2 linked regions of the Diceros bicornis minor genome follow. The protein of the gene in region 2 purifies or fractionates together with the protein of the main gene of each other region. This does not show direct contact. Links are inferred from orthologs where the notes say so. Each region holds a gene or a part of one and is shown on either strand. Other genes may lie near its edges.

Evidence for each region.
Region 1: the proteins of LATS2 (region 2) and AJUBA purify together in Homo sapiens (affinity purification with western blotting; 3 studies listed by BioGRID and IntAct, with this or other methods). This does not show direct contact. The link is inferred for Diceros bicornis minor from reciprocal best matches to the Homo sapiens genes LATS2 and AJUBA.

Annotation. Positions count from the first base shown.
Region 1 is NC_080744.1:24,763,158-24,770,402, reverse strand, and holds the start of AJUBA (LIM domain-containing protein ajuba), read right to left. Parts: upstream 3,197-7,245; 5' UTR 2,763-3,196; coding exon 1,727-2,762; intron 1-1,726.
Region 2 is NC_080748.1:5,593,501-5,601,256, forward strand, and holds the start of LATS2 (serine/threonine-protein kinase LATS2), read right to left. Parts: upstream 3,278-7,756; 5' UTR 3,111-3,277; intron 1-3,110. UniProt on the Homo sapiens protein: Negative regulator of YAP1 in the Hippo signaling pathway that plays a pivotal role in organ size control and tumor suppression by restricting proliferation and promoting apoptosis.

The sequences.
Region 1 (7,245 bases), on a different chromosome or scaffold from region 2:
CCCCTACTAGGGGCAGGAGTAGGAGGGTACAGTCAGGAGGAGGGTTCTGTCAGAGAAGGCAATCTGACCCCCCGGAGAGGAGTCCCCCACCTCTGGGGTCAAAATGTGGCCTCCATGGGAGGGGAGATCTGCCCCAAAATTGCCATGCCAGGGGGCCCTGTCAGAGCTATTTTTTTGGGAAGCCTTGGTGATTATGGGAAGACAAAAGCAAACTGCTCAGGCATGGCCACCTAACCTCCTCTAACCCAGCATATCCACACCTAGGTTCTTCCTGCCATTTTATTGCACTCTCTCTGAGCTCCTTTCTTCCTTTTGGCTCTGATGGCTTAGCCAAGGAGACTTCTTTCCATCCAACAGCTACTTCTCCTGGGCCTCAAAAGGAAACTGCTAAAAGGATCCTGGCACTTAGTCTCCCTTGACCAAAGCATTACCTGCTGTGGGCTTTCCTCTCTCAGGGTAGGGGGGAAAAGGTGGAAGGGTTGGGGTTAAACTAAGCAGGTTCCTTCCCCTGATGCCTCTGAATCTCCTCCCTACTCATGTTTATAGCTAGGTTCCTCTCCCTACTCAAGCTTATAGCCACAGAGGTTTAGAGCATGGGGTCCAGGGCAGTAACAAGGATGGTGAGAAAGGTGAGAAGGAGATGCTTGGAAAACCGAAGGGGCCCACAGCCCTAGGGGTGAGCCTTCTACTTCTGTTCTTCCTATCACAATCAGACTAGCATTTCTTTATATAGTGAAGTGGTCCTGTGGGTCTTGGCTAAAAGATCGTTGACACCCCAGTATCCCCCCCAGCTAAAACATATAATCAATGAATACTTCTTAAAGGTAACCGCATGGGGGAGAGACAATTACCAGGTTTCCTTAACAGCAGCAGAAAGTAAGGAGCTAGACTAGCCTGAATGCTAAGTAGGTTATGGCCAGAACTGAAAGCCAGGTACTTCTGGCAGTTACGACCCTATGGTCGTTATCCATCCAGGGGTGATGATGTCCCGGTGGTCGTGGCTTCTGCTCTGACTTCCGGAGAATGGGGAAAAAAGAAGCTGACACCACCAGGTCTCCGATAAAATGCCCACGCATGCACCGAGCCAGCAGGACTGGGGCGAGCCAGCAGTAGGGTCCCTGTTTTCAGTCCCAGGCGACTTCATCCTCCTTCCCCAGGATCCACTTCCCCCACCGCGGCCACAGTTCCGCGCGGGTTAGGAAGCAGGCCCCCCGCCTCGCCCCGCACCCCACCCTTCTCCCCAGCGCCGCGCAGCCGGCCCCGCCCGCGGGCACCTGGAGCGCCGGGGCAGGAGCCGGCACGCACGCGGCCTGCCCGCCCCGCCCCTCCTCCCGCGCATTCCCCGAATTCCTGCGGGCGGAGCCTAGGCCCGGGTGGGGGCGCGGTGCGCAGAAGCCTGCAGGGGCACCGCCGCCTGCAAGATGGGGGATGCTCTCATTGCCCCACTTGGTCCCCTCCCTATGAGGCCTCCTACCGCGAAAAACCGAGGCTCTAAAGCTTGAGGAACTGGGACTTCGGAGATAATCAGGGGGCTTGAATTTAGCGAGAATAAGGAGCCCCTGGTTCATCTGAAACCCAGTGGGAAGGGGAAATCCCTCTTGCCTCTTTTCTAGCCCCGCGTCTCCGCCTCCGATCTCCCGGCGCCGGCCATTTGGGCTGTCGGGGCAGTGCGGAACCGAATGCGGTGGCGGGTCCCTTCCCGTCCCTAACCACTTCTCTCACTCACCGAAGTAGTCCTCTCTGGCCTCCGGCTCCCGCATTCGGGCCCGGGCGACCTCTGGAACGAACGGACCCGGCAGCTCCTCCAGACCCGACGGCTCAATCCCCGACGGTTCCCCGCGGGCGCCGGCTTCTCGTCCACCCGTGCCCACCGTCAGGCGCAGCAACGCTGTTAGCTCATCCTGGTATCGGGCGCCCGCGGCGCAGTCCCCGTAGCCGGTCACTGAGTGTCGTCCGGGTTGCGCCCCTCGTCTCTCCAAGGGCCCTGCGGCTCCCATTCCGGCCCCGGCTAGAGCTCCGGGGCTGCCTAGGGCCGGGGGATACGAGTGGCGGCTTTCCTGGCAGCCGAACCCCGCGGGCCGATGAGCGCACAGTCGGTCCAGGGCAGCGTGGAGCTCCGGGTAGGCGGACGGCACCCCTCCAGGGGAATAGCCCGCCGGAGCCCCGGGCAGGGGTGGGCCAAACAGGCATGGCCCGGCGGGCAAGGGACTGCCGTGGCGCTGGTCGTAGCCCATGCTGATGCCGCTGGTACGATTGCTGCAGGGTCGGCTACCTCCGGCTCCGCCAGCCCCCGCCCCGTCCAGCAGCAGGCTGCACCGGGGGCTGGACGGCTTGCTCGCGTCGCTGGCTGAGCTACTGGCGAAACTGGAGCGAGGGCTTAGGGCTGGGGCCGTAGTCTCCAGCCGAAAGTCGGGGGGCAATGACTGAGGTAGAGGCAAGGCCCGGTTGGGAGGCGGCCCCCCGGGGAAGGAGCCTTCGTAGCGCTGCGCCTCAAAGGAGCCGCGCGGGTTCCGCTCTGCGTCCAGGGGGCCTTGCTCCCGGGTTGGCTCCAACGGCTCATCCCCAGGTCCTCCAGTAGCTCCACGGGGCCCAGATTTCCTAGGTCCCCCCAGCCCACTCAGTCGCCCCTTGCCCGGCCCAGGGGTCCCATCAGACCCAGACCGGCTAGATTCACCCTTTCTGCGGCCGAACTTGGCGCTGCCGGAGTCCGAGAGCCTTAACTTCTCCAGCAGGCGACTGGCTTTCTCTCCTAATCGCTCCATGCCCTCGGGCCTGGGGCCTCCAGCCCCCTCCCCGCCCGGCACCCTGCAGCGTCTCAGTGGCCGCTTCTCTTTCCCTGCGGCCGGACTCCGGTTCGCCAGGGGCACAGAGTAGGCACACGGGTTTAGCGGGCGGCCCGGATGCCCGGCGCCAAGAATCTCGCAGCATCCCCCAGCGAGAGAAGCTGCGGCCCCCCGCGCATCAGGGGTTAAGCGGGGCTAGAAGCTCCTGCGGCCGCGACTGTCCCGTCCGCAGGTCTATCTGTTCACGCGTCGACTCGCTGGGCAGACCCACTCTCGCCGGCCCCCGCCCCCCTCGCACTCACACTCAGCACCGACCCAACTTCTCTCCCAAACTTTTGTCTGCCTGGCCGGATCTACTTTCCTGGAGGGCGGAGCGCCGAGTGCGAGAGGAACGGGGGTGTCTGCGCAGGGATCTCTGGTGCGCCAGGCAGTGGGAGGGGGTGGCGTGGGGTGGTGGTGCTGGTGCTGGTGCTAACTGCCCTGGAGGTGGAGATCCTGCGACTGGAGGCGAGAGGAGGGCGAGGAGCAGTTTGGGCAGCTGCCGCTACGTTACTCAAGAATTGGGGCAGGAAAAAGTGGGGTGGGAGAGGGGAACTCTTTGTTTGCAGTTGGAATGCGCGCAGGGGCGCGGAGGGGCACGGTGGAATGTCGCAGTCCTGGACGGGGCGACGCGAGGCTTGTTCTCCGCAAATACTGTGACTTTGTTCTTAGTGTGGGGACTGTGGGAGAGATGGAGAAAGACTGATACAGAAGTAGTGAGAGAGGGAGAGATCCATAAAAAGGAAGACAGGGAGCAAGAAGAAAGGTACGTACATAAAGAGGTTCAGAGACGTGTACATAAAGAGCCCAGACAGGCGAGGAAGCCCCTACAGAGACGTGATGGAAGACAGGTAGCGAAAGAAAGGGAGAGCCCCAGCAAAAGGGGTCGTGGGTGGTGTGGAGACAGAAGGATGAATAGTAAGAAAAAGACAAATATATGCAAGTCCAGAGAGAATGAGAGACAAACAGATAAACTGCAATTAAAAAGAAACCATTTTCTGAACCCAAAGCTCTGTGATGGGTGGGAGGGAGAAAGGGAGCTTTAGCGTCTATGTAAAAGGAGTGAGGAAAAGGTTTGGGACTAATCTCTACCTTCAGGGTGGGACAGATAGAGGGATAGACAGACACCCCCTGGTGTTGGGAAGTGAGATGTTTAGCAAATATTTCAGGTGACTATGGGGATAAAAGGCCTGGTTTTAGGGCTAGGGAACGCTAGCCTCCTGCTTTGTTGGCCTACAGGAGATTGGTGATGAAGAGTAATTTAAGATTAATTTAAGAGGAAGAAAAGAAATGTCATTTAGAGGAGATAGCAAGTGAAAATGATCAGGGTGGAAGAAGAAAAGAGGCTGATCTTGGCCATACTAAAAGGATAAAGAGGGCCGGCCTGTGGCTTAGCGGTTCAGTGCCTGTGCTCCACTACTGGTGGCCTGGGTTCAGACCCTGGGCGCTCACCAATGCACAGCTTCTCCGGCCATGCTGAGGTGGTGTCTCATATACAGCAACTAGAAGGATGTGCAGCTATGACATACAACTATCTACTGGGGTTGGGGGCGAAAGAAAAAGGATAAAGAGTAAGGAAAAGAAGGCCAGCCCTGTGGCCTAGCAGTGAAGCGCACGCATTCTGCTTCAGCGGCCAGAGGGGTCACAGGTTCCGATCCTCGGGGCACACAGAGGCACCACTTGTCAAGCCATGCTGTGGCCACATCCCATACAAAGGAGAGGAAGATGGGCACTGATGTTAGCCCAGGGCCAATCTTCCTCCACAAAAAGAGGAGGATTGGCATTGGATGTTAGCTCCGGGCTGATCTTCCTCCCTGAATGAATGAATGAATAAATAAAAGCAAAATTAAAAAAAAAGAAGAAGAATAAGGAAAAGAAGAAACTGTGGCTGAAGCTGAACAAACCTGATTAAATACCAGCCAGCTGACTTTGCCCAGACTAGCACGTCAGGGGCCAGGGGCTGAGGAAGTAGAATGGAGAAGGAAAATGACTCCTTTGTATTTAGATAGTAAATGAGTATGAAAATTATATGCAAACAAATCATGCATATTATTTTCATCTCAACATTTGAACACCTTTTATAATCTTCTTGTAGCCTTAGGGAATGGGGAAGGAAAGGAGGTTAACATCTTTGGGGAAATTAATTTGGCACACACTATTTGGTTCTTTGTCCTAGCTGCATTGTCACCCTGACCTCATCTCTCCTGAGAGTCAGCCTGTTTCCCTGGTCAGGCCTACAGCTTTGCTCTGATCCAGAGAAGAGTTTACTATTGGACTGGAGGCAGGGAGCACCGAAAGCATTAGTAACAGAGGAGAGCTATCAGGTTGTATCTAGAACCCACTGTGAGCAACATCTTCAAAATTAACCATAAGACTCTCCCTCCTTTCCTGTCTCCAGATGGGGAAGGAGAACCTGGATTCTTCTTTCCAATTCCTTACATCCAAAATATCCACACAGCCTCTAATATTTGGAAGCTTTGCTCCTTTGGGGTGAGGATGGGAGAGTAAATCTTGTGAAAAGTTGAGAGGCCATTAAAGGAGGCCCATCCAGGAGTTGGTGGTGGCAGCAGTGGGCACAGTTGGGATTGAAAACCTGTGTTTTCAGGGGATAGCAGGAAGCAAAGACAAGTGCAGGGGGAGACAGGTGCACTGATAGGGCATGCTGGAGCAGTGCCCACGAACTGGGGGTAACCACTCCACTGTCTGAACTGGAGGCGGGAGCTCCACAGGCCCTATTCTCCACCCCCAGGACTTGAATTCAGCCAGCCCTGCTGGTCTAGTGGTTAAAAGTCTATGCTCTCATGGCTGCAGCCCAGGTTTGTTTCCCAGTCATGGATCCACACCACCCGTCTGTCAGTTGTTATACTGCGGTGGCTGTGTGATGCTGAAAGCTGTGCCACCGAGGTGGACAGGTTTCAGTGGAGCTTCCAGACTAAGACAGACTAGGAAGAAGGACTTGGCCACCCACTTCCAAAAAAATCAGCCATGAAAACCCTGTGAATAGCAGCAGAGCATTGTCTGATAGAGAGCCAGAGAGGATGGCACAAAAAGACCAGGCAGGGTGCTGACTACTAGCATCTCCACTTGGTTGCCTCAAAGGCATACTGACCACCTTCCCTGCCTCCCGAAACTGGCTCCTCCAGCATTCCCTGAGTAAATTGCACCATTAACCAATTAGGCGCTTAAGCCAGAAACCTGAACATCAACCTTATGTCCTCCTCCCTTAACCTCATATCCAACCAAGTCCTATCAATCCTGCTTCCTAAATATCTTTCAAATCTCTCCTCCCCTTATCACCATGATATCTATCAAGCCACCATCTTTTCTCTCCTGAACCACTGCAAAAGTCTCCCTGCCGAGGCTTTTCTCCCTCAATCCATCTTAGACCCTGAGGTCAAGTGATTCTTCTAAAACACAAAACTGATCATCTTGTTTCCCTGCTATAAAACCTTTCAATGATTTCTCACTGCCCTTGAACTAAAGTCTATACTCTTTATGATATTTTACAAGGTCTTTCTACCTTTCCAGCCTCTTCTCTCAACACCATCCCCTCCTCCAACTGTTCTCCAGTAGAATTGCACCTTGTATGTGCTCTCTCTTGCCCCTGGACTTTTGTACTTGCTGTTCCCTGTGTTTGGAACACTCTCCTGGCCTCCCTTCCCTTCTGGTTAACTCTTCCCCTTCTTTCAGGTATCGGTTTGAACTCCACTCTCTGAGAAGCCTTTCCAGACTGCCAGAGTAGGTTAACTACCCTTGCTGTATACTGCCGTTGCTCCCCCAGCATGACCCTTATCACAAGTCATTTCATTGCCTGCTTAAATGCCTGGCTTGCCTGGCTTCCCGACTACACAATAGTGTAGTCAACCTCTGACCTGATCAACAGTGTACCTTGTACACTGTACAAGGTACCATAGTACCTTGCACAGTACCTGACACCTAGTAAGCAATCAATATTTGTTGTAGACTGAATGGAGAGCCATTTTTACTTCTCAATCCATTCAAAATGCACAAATTTTGTGTACGTGTGTGTGTGCGCACGTGTATGCAGCTCAAAATACAGCTTGGCTGACAGGACTAAGAAATAGCTACAAGGCCCTGTAGACTGCTTGGTCACACAGCGGGAGAGCAGCTGCTGGTGAGACATACAACTCTTTAAGCTTTAATTTCCTCATGTGTAATACGGGAATAATAAAATCTGCCTTATATAATTCAATAAACAATAGCTATTATATCTATATCCCAATTCCCAAATAGGGACGGAGCCCGTGTTCTGCTCAGAAGAATCAAGCCCATGACTAAAACTGCCCACCAGGTGGCAGTATTACCCTAGACTGGTCCTGAGCGCCTTCCACTGCAGAGCAAGACCAGCAGTCGCTGGGAAACAGAAGGTACCACCAGGGCTGCTTCCCCAGAGCTTTGAGTG
Region 2 (7,756 bases):
TAAGACTCATGAGGTAGGATGGAGTTAACTAGTAATGGAACATGCTAGTCCTTAGCATTCCTGCTCAAGACAACAGCCTGGAGACAGTAAGGCCAATACTCCAAACAGAGGCCCACTCCATTCAAAAGTCAACTTCCATTCTTAAGATCCTTACCATCCTAATTTAGAGGCTATAGGATCTGCGCTATGCCGCAATATCTTCACAATGAATTAACAATAAACACAAAGCACTGCTACAAAATATGAGATTTTCCATTTGTCCTCCAGAAAAATTCCTATGAACGTCAAATACTGGCACATGAACAAAAAGTATTTAACTTAAAAAAAAATCACTTGTTACAGGTAGGTTGACACAGTCTAGATGGTAAGCAACATAAAGTTTTCATATAGTGAATGAGAACATTAAGCAGTGTAAAATTTCCATTCTAATTTTAGCATCATAACCATTATCTCTATTTCCAACATTATTTTAATAATACTTTCAAAATGAAACTGTAAATCAAATAACATTAGCCTTAAAAGTACTGAAAGAACAGCTGACTAATACTTAGTGAAACTAGTGGCCCAAGCAGGCCACCGACAAACTTCGGGAGCAATTCACAGGTGCTCTGTGTGAGGAAGCTCCACCTCCCAGAGCTCATCCACTCCGCATACAATGGGAATGGTGACCCCCTGGACTCATGCAAGGCCCAGTTCTATCCAGAGGAATTACTAAGCAACAGGCTTTTTAAAAAGGAAGATTATGAGAATTTTTTGAGCTGGAAGTCAGTCACTTCAGGGATTATCAAGACCAATCTCTTCATTCTGTTTATCAGGATATTTTGATCCTTTTTAGAGCAGAATTACATTTAAGACAAAATAAATGCACTAAATTTATCTTCTGTATGTCTTCAAGCCCACTATTTTTAAAAAGTCAGTAAGGAATATTATTTAGAAGTTTCACATTATTATAACCATGAAATAAAATATAAAAGCAGCTTTTCAAAAACTGTGTTGGTCTGGTTTTTCCAATACAAAGCAGAACAGCTCCAAAGCTTCCCCAAATCCTTCCTTCGTGTTCATGGTTAATTTATCAGCTTCAACACCTCCCCTACCTCTCCACCCCCCTACAATGGGATTTAGGAGCCTAGGACTGGCTATTCACAACACAGCATTTAAAATAACAAGGCTTCTTATTGTAAAAACATTCCCCTCCCACCAAAGGGAAGTCCCTCCCACCAACCCTGTGATTTGCTAAGGAAAGAAAGAAATATGTACAGCTCCAATTTACACTTCAGTCAAAACTTTCAAAACAGATGGAGAGGCTAAAAGAATCCCTTCAATTCTAAAATTCCGTGATTCTAGTAATTCATTCACCTCAATAATTTCGCATGACATCTTCTGTTCGGATGCCACTTTAAATTGCTTGACATGTTGAGATCTATTAAATGTACAGCAATTTTAATTTCAAGGGAATGCTGTCATATTCATTAAACAGTGCTCTATATACCTGGATAATGAGACCAAATTTTATGAGATGCTGAATAACAGCGTCTTGTTAATTATAATTCAAAACAGACCTTCTTAAATAGTCTCTGCATTCTTCTTTTGGAAGATTTTTCTGTTACCACCTTACTACAACAGTTGCTAAACAAAAAGCTTAGAAGATACCAAGCAACTTAGTATTTTGATTTAGCACTCAAAAATGGTAATCCATCACACAGGGATTTAAGCTGAGAATCAACAAAAAATATGGAGCAAGATCTATTTAGTACAAATTCCCTAATAATAAGCCGCGAGTTACTTTCTCCATTACTAAGGGAAGGCCCCTCATCTACTAAGTCAAAATTTAAACAGAACACCTGTACGAAGATCACACACATTTTGTCTTTCCATTCAAATTTCAGTATATTCAAGTTTCTTAGTAAAATGTGGGCAATCTTTCCTTTAAAAATGTACATATTTGCTGAATACATTGGGAAGAGAGCTGATGGGCCACTGAATTTTTACTTGCCAAGTGTATACTCCCTGGTTTAATAGCCAAGGTTAAATAATTTTTAAAAGTCTAGATGACTATTACATTAAGAACACTCTCACTTATATTCTACATAGGTGTGAAAATGTAAAAGTTGTTGTTTAAAATTTTGTCAACATAAAATCTACAAATAAAGTGTACTTTTCACGGTTATGCTTGCAAAGACTACTTCTCATTCGAGGGCCTCAGAACATGCTGCCGGCAGCCCAGGACACCCGTGACACCGCCGTCCGGTGCGTTTTACCTTCTTTGGGGGTATGCCTTCCCCTTCCCCCACCCCCAGGGCACCGGGGACTTGGAATCCACAAACGAAAGGTCTGCTCCGAGCTGGCACTCCTGCCCGACCCCAGGCCAGGCTTCACCCGGAGGCAGACGCTCGTCCTGAAGTTCCGAAGTAAGGCTGGAGCAGAAGTGATTGCCAAAATGCGAATTTTATCGGAATCTGCATCTCCCGAGTCCGGCCGCGGAACTAACTACAAGTAAAGTTGCATCAGAAAAGACAACCTCCAGAAAAGTCGGCTAGACTGGGGCGCAGGACGGGCACGTTATGCAACGGCCGCCGCTCTCACGGCCACGAATGCGCCCCTGGAAGCCCGGGCTTCGACCCGCGAGGACCTGGAGGCCAACACGGAGACGCCGGGGCGGGCCCGGCTTCCCCGCCGCCCGAGGGGACACAGCGGCGCGGCCTCCGTGGGGACACGACGCCGCGGCCAGTCGGGTACGACGGGGCGGCCTCCGTGGAAGGCGGGGCGGCCAGGCGCGGGACCCCGGCGCTGTCAGGGCCGCCCGCTGGCACCGCGGAGGCCGGGCACTCGGGTAGAAGCCCGGCTCCCGGGACGGTGGAGGCGCGGGCGCCCCCCGCTCGCCGCCCCCGGCCCCCAGCGCACAACAAAGCGGCGCACCCTGCCGCCCGGCGCTCGCCCCCAGCCTCCCGGCCCGCGCGAGCCGGCTCGGCGGACTCCGGACGGCCCGCGACGACGCGCCGCCGGCGGGGGCGGCTCTGGGCCCAGGACGGGCGGGGGCCGTGGGGGCAGGGCGCAGAGCTCCGGTCCTGACAAACTTCCTTGGCCGCCCGCTCCCGCCCCTGCCCCTTCACCTCCTGGGGCGCGGTCTACACGCTCCGGGGCGTCCTCGCCTGTGGCTCCGGGGCCTCGCGCGCCGGGGGACCGGGCGCCGGTGGCTGGAGCTGCTGCTGGCCCCGCAGGGACAGGGGAGCCCCGGGCGGCGGCGGCGCGGGCGGCGGCTGCTCCATCTTCCCGGGGCGCTCACGCCGCTGTTCCAACGCGCAGACCCAAGTGGGACATTCGCTACATTGTTGGCATTCCACGGGCGTCACGTGACCCCGCCTCCCGCGTCACTCTCGGCCGCATACCAGCCCGGGCGGGGCGCCTGCGGCCCTTGCCGCTCGGCGGCCGGCTCGCTCCGCCCGGCCGCCGCTTCCTGCCTCCAGGTCGCGGCCGCCCGCGCCCGTCGCCACCTGCCCGCGGCCTCCCCGCCTCCTCCTACGGACCTTTTTGCCAGTTTGTCACCCGGCCCCAACTCCAGTATTGCCCCCTCGACTGGACTTGTATTAAAAGTTGGTAACTCTGTCTTACAGCCACTTTTTTCTTAAGCATCTCACACCAGCCTTGGTGAAGAAAGTAAGTTAACAGGCTTGAAGGAGCCACCAAGTTACCAAATAGGTGCCGAAAAGGGCAGACAGCTAGCCGTGAGTCATGGAAAGACGTCAAATATACACCCAAATTCAATCGGTTTTAATTTAATCAACCCCCAGTGCTGTGTATATTTTGTTTATGAGAAGTGTTTTATGGTATACAGAACAGTATAAGAATGTATACCAACAAGAGAGATTTTGGTTTTTGCGTTTCAACCGCTGACTGTCTTTCCATTTGGGGGCTATGGATTTGGTACAAGGACGTATGCAGGGACTGTGCAGAGATGTGAGTAGAAATAACAGACTGGAAGCCAAATCTTTAATCTACTTCTGGCTGTCCGTCTAACGTCATACTTCCTACCGCCTACAGTCTGTGGTAGATGATGAGGAGGACTAACATCGATTTAAAAGCCAACCTAATTTCCTTTTTAATTAATAAACTCCTGTGAAATTTTTAAATTTTAATCTGGAAAGAAACAGTAAATAAGGTCATTATCTCCGGACTGTTTTAACAACCTTACCTGTCCCTGGTCTGCCATCTTCTCCTCCTTCCTTTCTAAATCCCACCCAGGTTTTTAGCCCTGACTTTGCCTTGGCTCTTCCAGGGAATCTTCTCAGATCTCCCTCCTGTTTTCTCTCTTCTTTGAGCTCTGGTAATTAAACCATTATTGTGCAGTTTGGAATTCAATTTACTTTTTCAGTCGTATCCTGTGCTCAACCCAGACATGTTGCGCAGTATAAATCTCCAGCAGATATTCTGTAACTGAGTCCCCCTTGCACTCAGCTGTGTACCTTTTCCCTTATACACTGCCCATACTTTCTGCACCCAAGCCCCAAGCCGCAGGGCTGGCTACCAGTCTTCCTTTGTGTGTGTTTAAAGATCTTGCCCTTGCTCTGTCTTCAAAGATCTGAACATAATTAAATAAAACATTTTTGTCAAGTGAAATATTGTAAATAAGAGGAATTTAATGGACTTTAAAATTTATGTGTAAACACCTAATAAAATTTTGTAATTACAACAACCATTACAGCATTGTTTGCAATAGTGAAAAATCAGGAAGAACTTAAATGTCCAGCAATAGGGAATAATAGGAAAATAGATGGTAGATATTCAAATGATGAAATATATAAAATAGCTAAGTGAATGAACTAACTAGCTCTGTACTTTTCAAAGAAAAAATGAGTGTAGACAGAATTCAAAACCATTGTAGAGTAGAAAAAAGAAAGTTGCATAACTATATATACACTATGATGCCATATTTATATATAAACAAAACCCCGCAGAACCTATACTAATCCTATACTTTATATAAGTAGAGACATGGACTACAAAAGTACACACCAAATTCATGACAGCTGTTGCCTGTGTAGAAGGAAGGAGAGAAATTAGACTGAGGAGAGAAAGAGTTCAGCTTTATCTGCAATGCTTTTTTTTTTATTTAAAGAAGTGAAGCAAAACTGTCAAAATCTTAAAATTTGTTGATTCTGGGTGATTAGGTTCAATAATGTGTGTTGTGTTATTCTTTGTGCCTTTTTTTAAAACATCTTTTTAAATTTTTCAAATATATATGTATGAAACAAATTGGAAACAAGTAAATTTCCAATTAGAGGCTTGCCTGGGGAAAATGTGACACACTTATTTAGGAGAATATTATGATTAATGATTGTGTTTATTGTTATTGGGATATGTGTTTATTGACATGGAGTCATTCATTCCTTTGAGTTGTTTTATTTTTTGAGTATCTGTTATGAGCCGTGGGCTAAACCAGACACTAGGGACAAAACCACAAGACTTATCCCCTGGTGGAGCTAACAGTCTTGTAGATGTGTTCAAGAAGAAAAGCAAATGACAAAATAGAGTATAGCATCTAATTTTGTGAAACAATGTCAGTATATATATATTTATATATTTTAAAAATATATTAATAATATATTATAAATTATATAATACTATATAATATAAAATATTATATATTTTAAAGTCCAGAAAAGTATGCAGCCAAATGTTAAAAATGGTGGTCTCTAGGGGCCGGCCCGGTGGTGTAGTGGTTAAGTTTGCACCACTTCAGGCAGCCTGGGGTTCACAGGTTCAGATCCCAGGTGTGGAGCTACATACCACTCTCATTAAGCCATGCTGTGGCGGCATCTCACATATGAAGTAGAGGAAGATGGGCACGGATGTTAGCCCAGGACCCATCTTCCTCAGCTAAAAGAAGAGGATTGGCAACAGATGTTAGTTCAGGGCTAATCTTCCTCACCAAAACAAAAAAAAGTGGTAGTCTCTGGATATAGTCATTCTGGGTGATTTTTGTCTTATAATTCCTGATATTCCTAAATAGGATAGTTAGCAACAAAAACTATGTCTAAATTAAGTAATCAGCTAAATGAGTACATTCACGTAATGCATCCAGCTGAGAAGGGGAGAAAAGAGAGAAATAACACAAGGCCAGATGAGCACAAAGCCTGTAGCAGTGGCAATGTTGCAGTGTATAAATTAATTGATTAACATAGTATGTTTATATATGCGTATGTGTTTGTGTGTCCTTACAACCAAGTGTTGCCCTAAACTTGTGTATTATCTCATTTAATCCTCTAGACAACCATGTTATCAACCCCATTTTATAGAAAAGGACCCTATAACACAGAGAACCCAAGTAACTCACTCAAGATCAAAGAGCTGGGATTTGAACCTTGGTAGATCTGACTCCAGAGCTAGGCAACACTGAATTATAAGGCTCTCTTCAGGTAATCTCAAAAAGTCATGATTACAGTGTACTTATAAATAAGGAAACTGAAACAAAATTAACTCCCCTATAGTTTGTTTGAGGGAAGAGGAATGGCTTTTGTGGAGTGAGGAAGAGTGGAGCTCAAAGACATGTGTCTCCAGCACCAACCAGAGAAAAAAGAGGCTGTGGGCTGCAGGCACAGGGAGTCTACTCACCAATGAGGCCCCTGCAGTTGTGGGGCCCGGATGTTTTAGCAGTTCTCACTGAGGCCCCTAGGGAATATCACCCTAAGACTACCTACCACGCCCCACTTCCCCGCCAAGCTGTGAATGCAAGAAACCTGATTATGGCTCATACCTTAGTGCCTGGAAAACAGGCTCTGGTCTCTAGACACAATTTTTGTCATTTTGGAAAGAAAAAGCCTCCTTTTTTATAATCTGTGGGGGAGACTTAGCAAATCTGCCTAACTACAGAAGAATGTTCTCTAAGGGGAGTAGTGAAAAAATAGACTAGAGGGGCTGGCCTGGTAGTGTAGTGGTTCAGCGTGCATGTTCCGCTGCTGGTGGCCCGAGTCCGATCCTGGGTGCGCACCGATGCCCTGCTTGTCAGGCCATGCTGTGGTGGCGTCCCATATAAAGTGGAGGAAGATGGGCACAGGTGTTAGCCCAGGGCCAGTCTTCCTCAGCAAAAAGAGGAGGATTGGCATAGATGTTAGCTCAGAGCTGATCTTCCTCACACACACAAAAAAGTAGAGTAGAGTCAGGATATGAAAGGCCTAGAAAACCAGGAAGAAGATGTGCTGCACTGATTTTTTTGTTTTATACTCATATATTTTGTCTTCTTAATTAGATTATAAATTCCACAAGAATGGGGACCATATTCTCCCCCCAAAACTATATATAAAGAACTTTGTAGTGAGCTAGATGAAAGACTAGAAGAAATCACCCAAGCTGAACAGGTAAAAGAAAAAAGGATTAAAAAGAGTGAGGACAGTCTAAGGGACCTCTGAGACAACATCAAGTGCACTAACATCCGTGTTATAGGTGTCCCAGAAGGAGAAGAGTGAGACAAAGGGGCAGAGAATCTATTTGAAGAAATAATAGATGAAAACTTCCCTAACCTAAGGAAGGACACAGACATCCAGGTACAGGAAGCACAGAGAGCACCAAACAAGATAAACCCAAAGAGGCCCCCACCAAGACACATCATAATTAAAATGTCCAGGATTAAAGATAAAGAGAGAATTCTAAAAGCCACAAGAGAAAGACAAGTTACATACAAAGGAAACCCCATAAAGTTATCAGCTGACTTCTCAGCAGAAACCTTACAGACTAGAAGATAGTGGCATGATATATTTAAAGT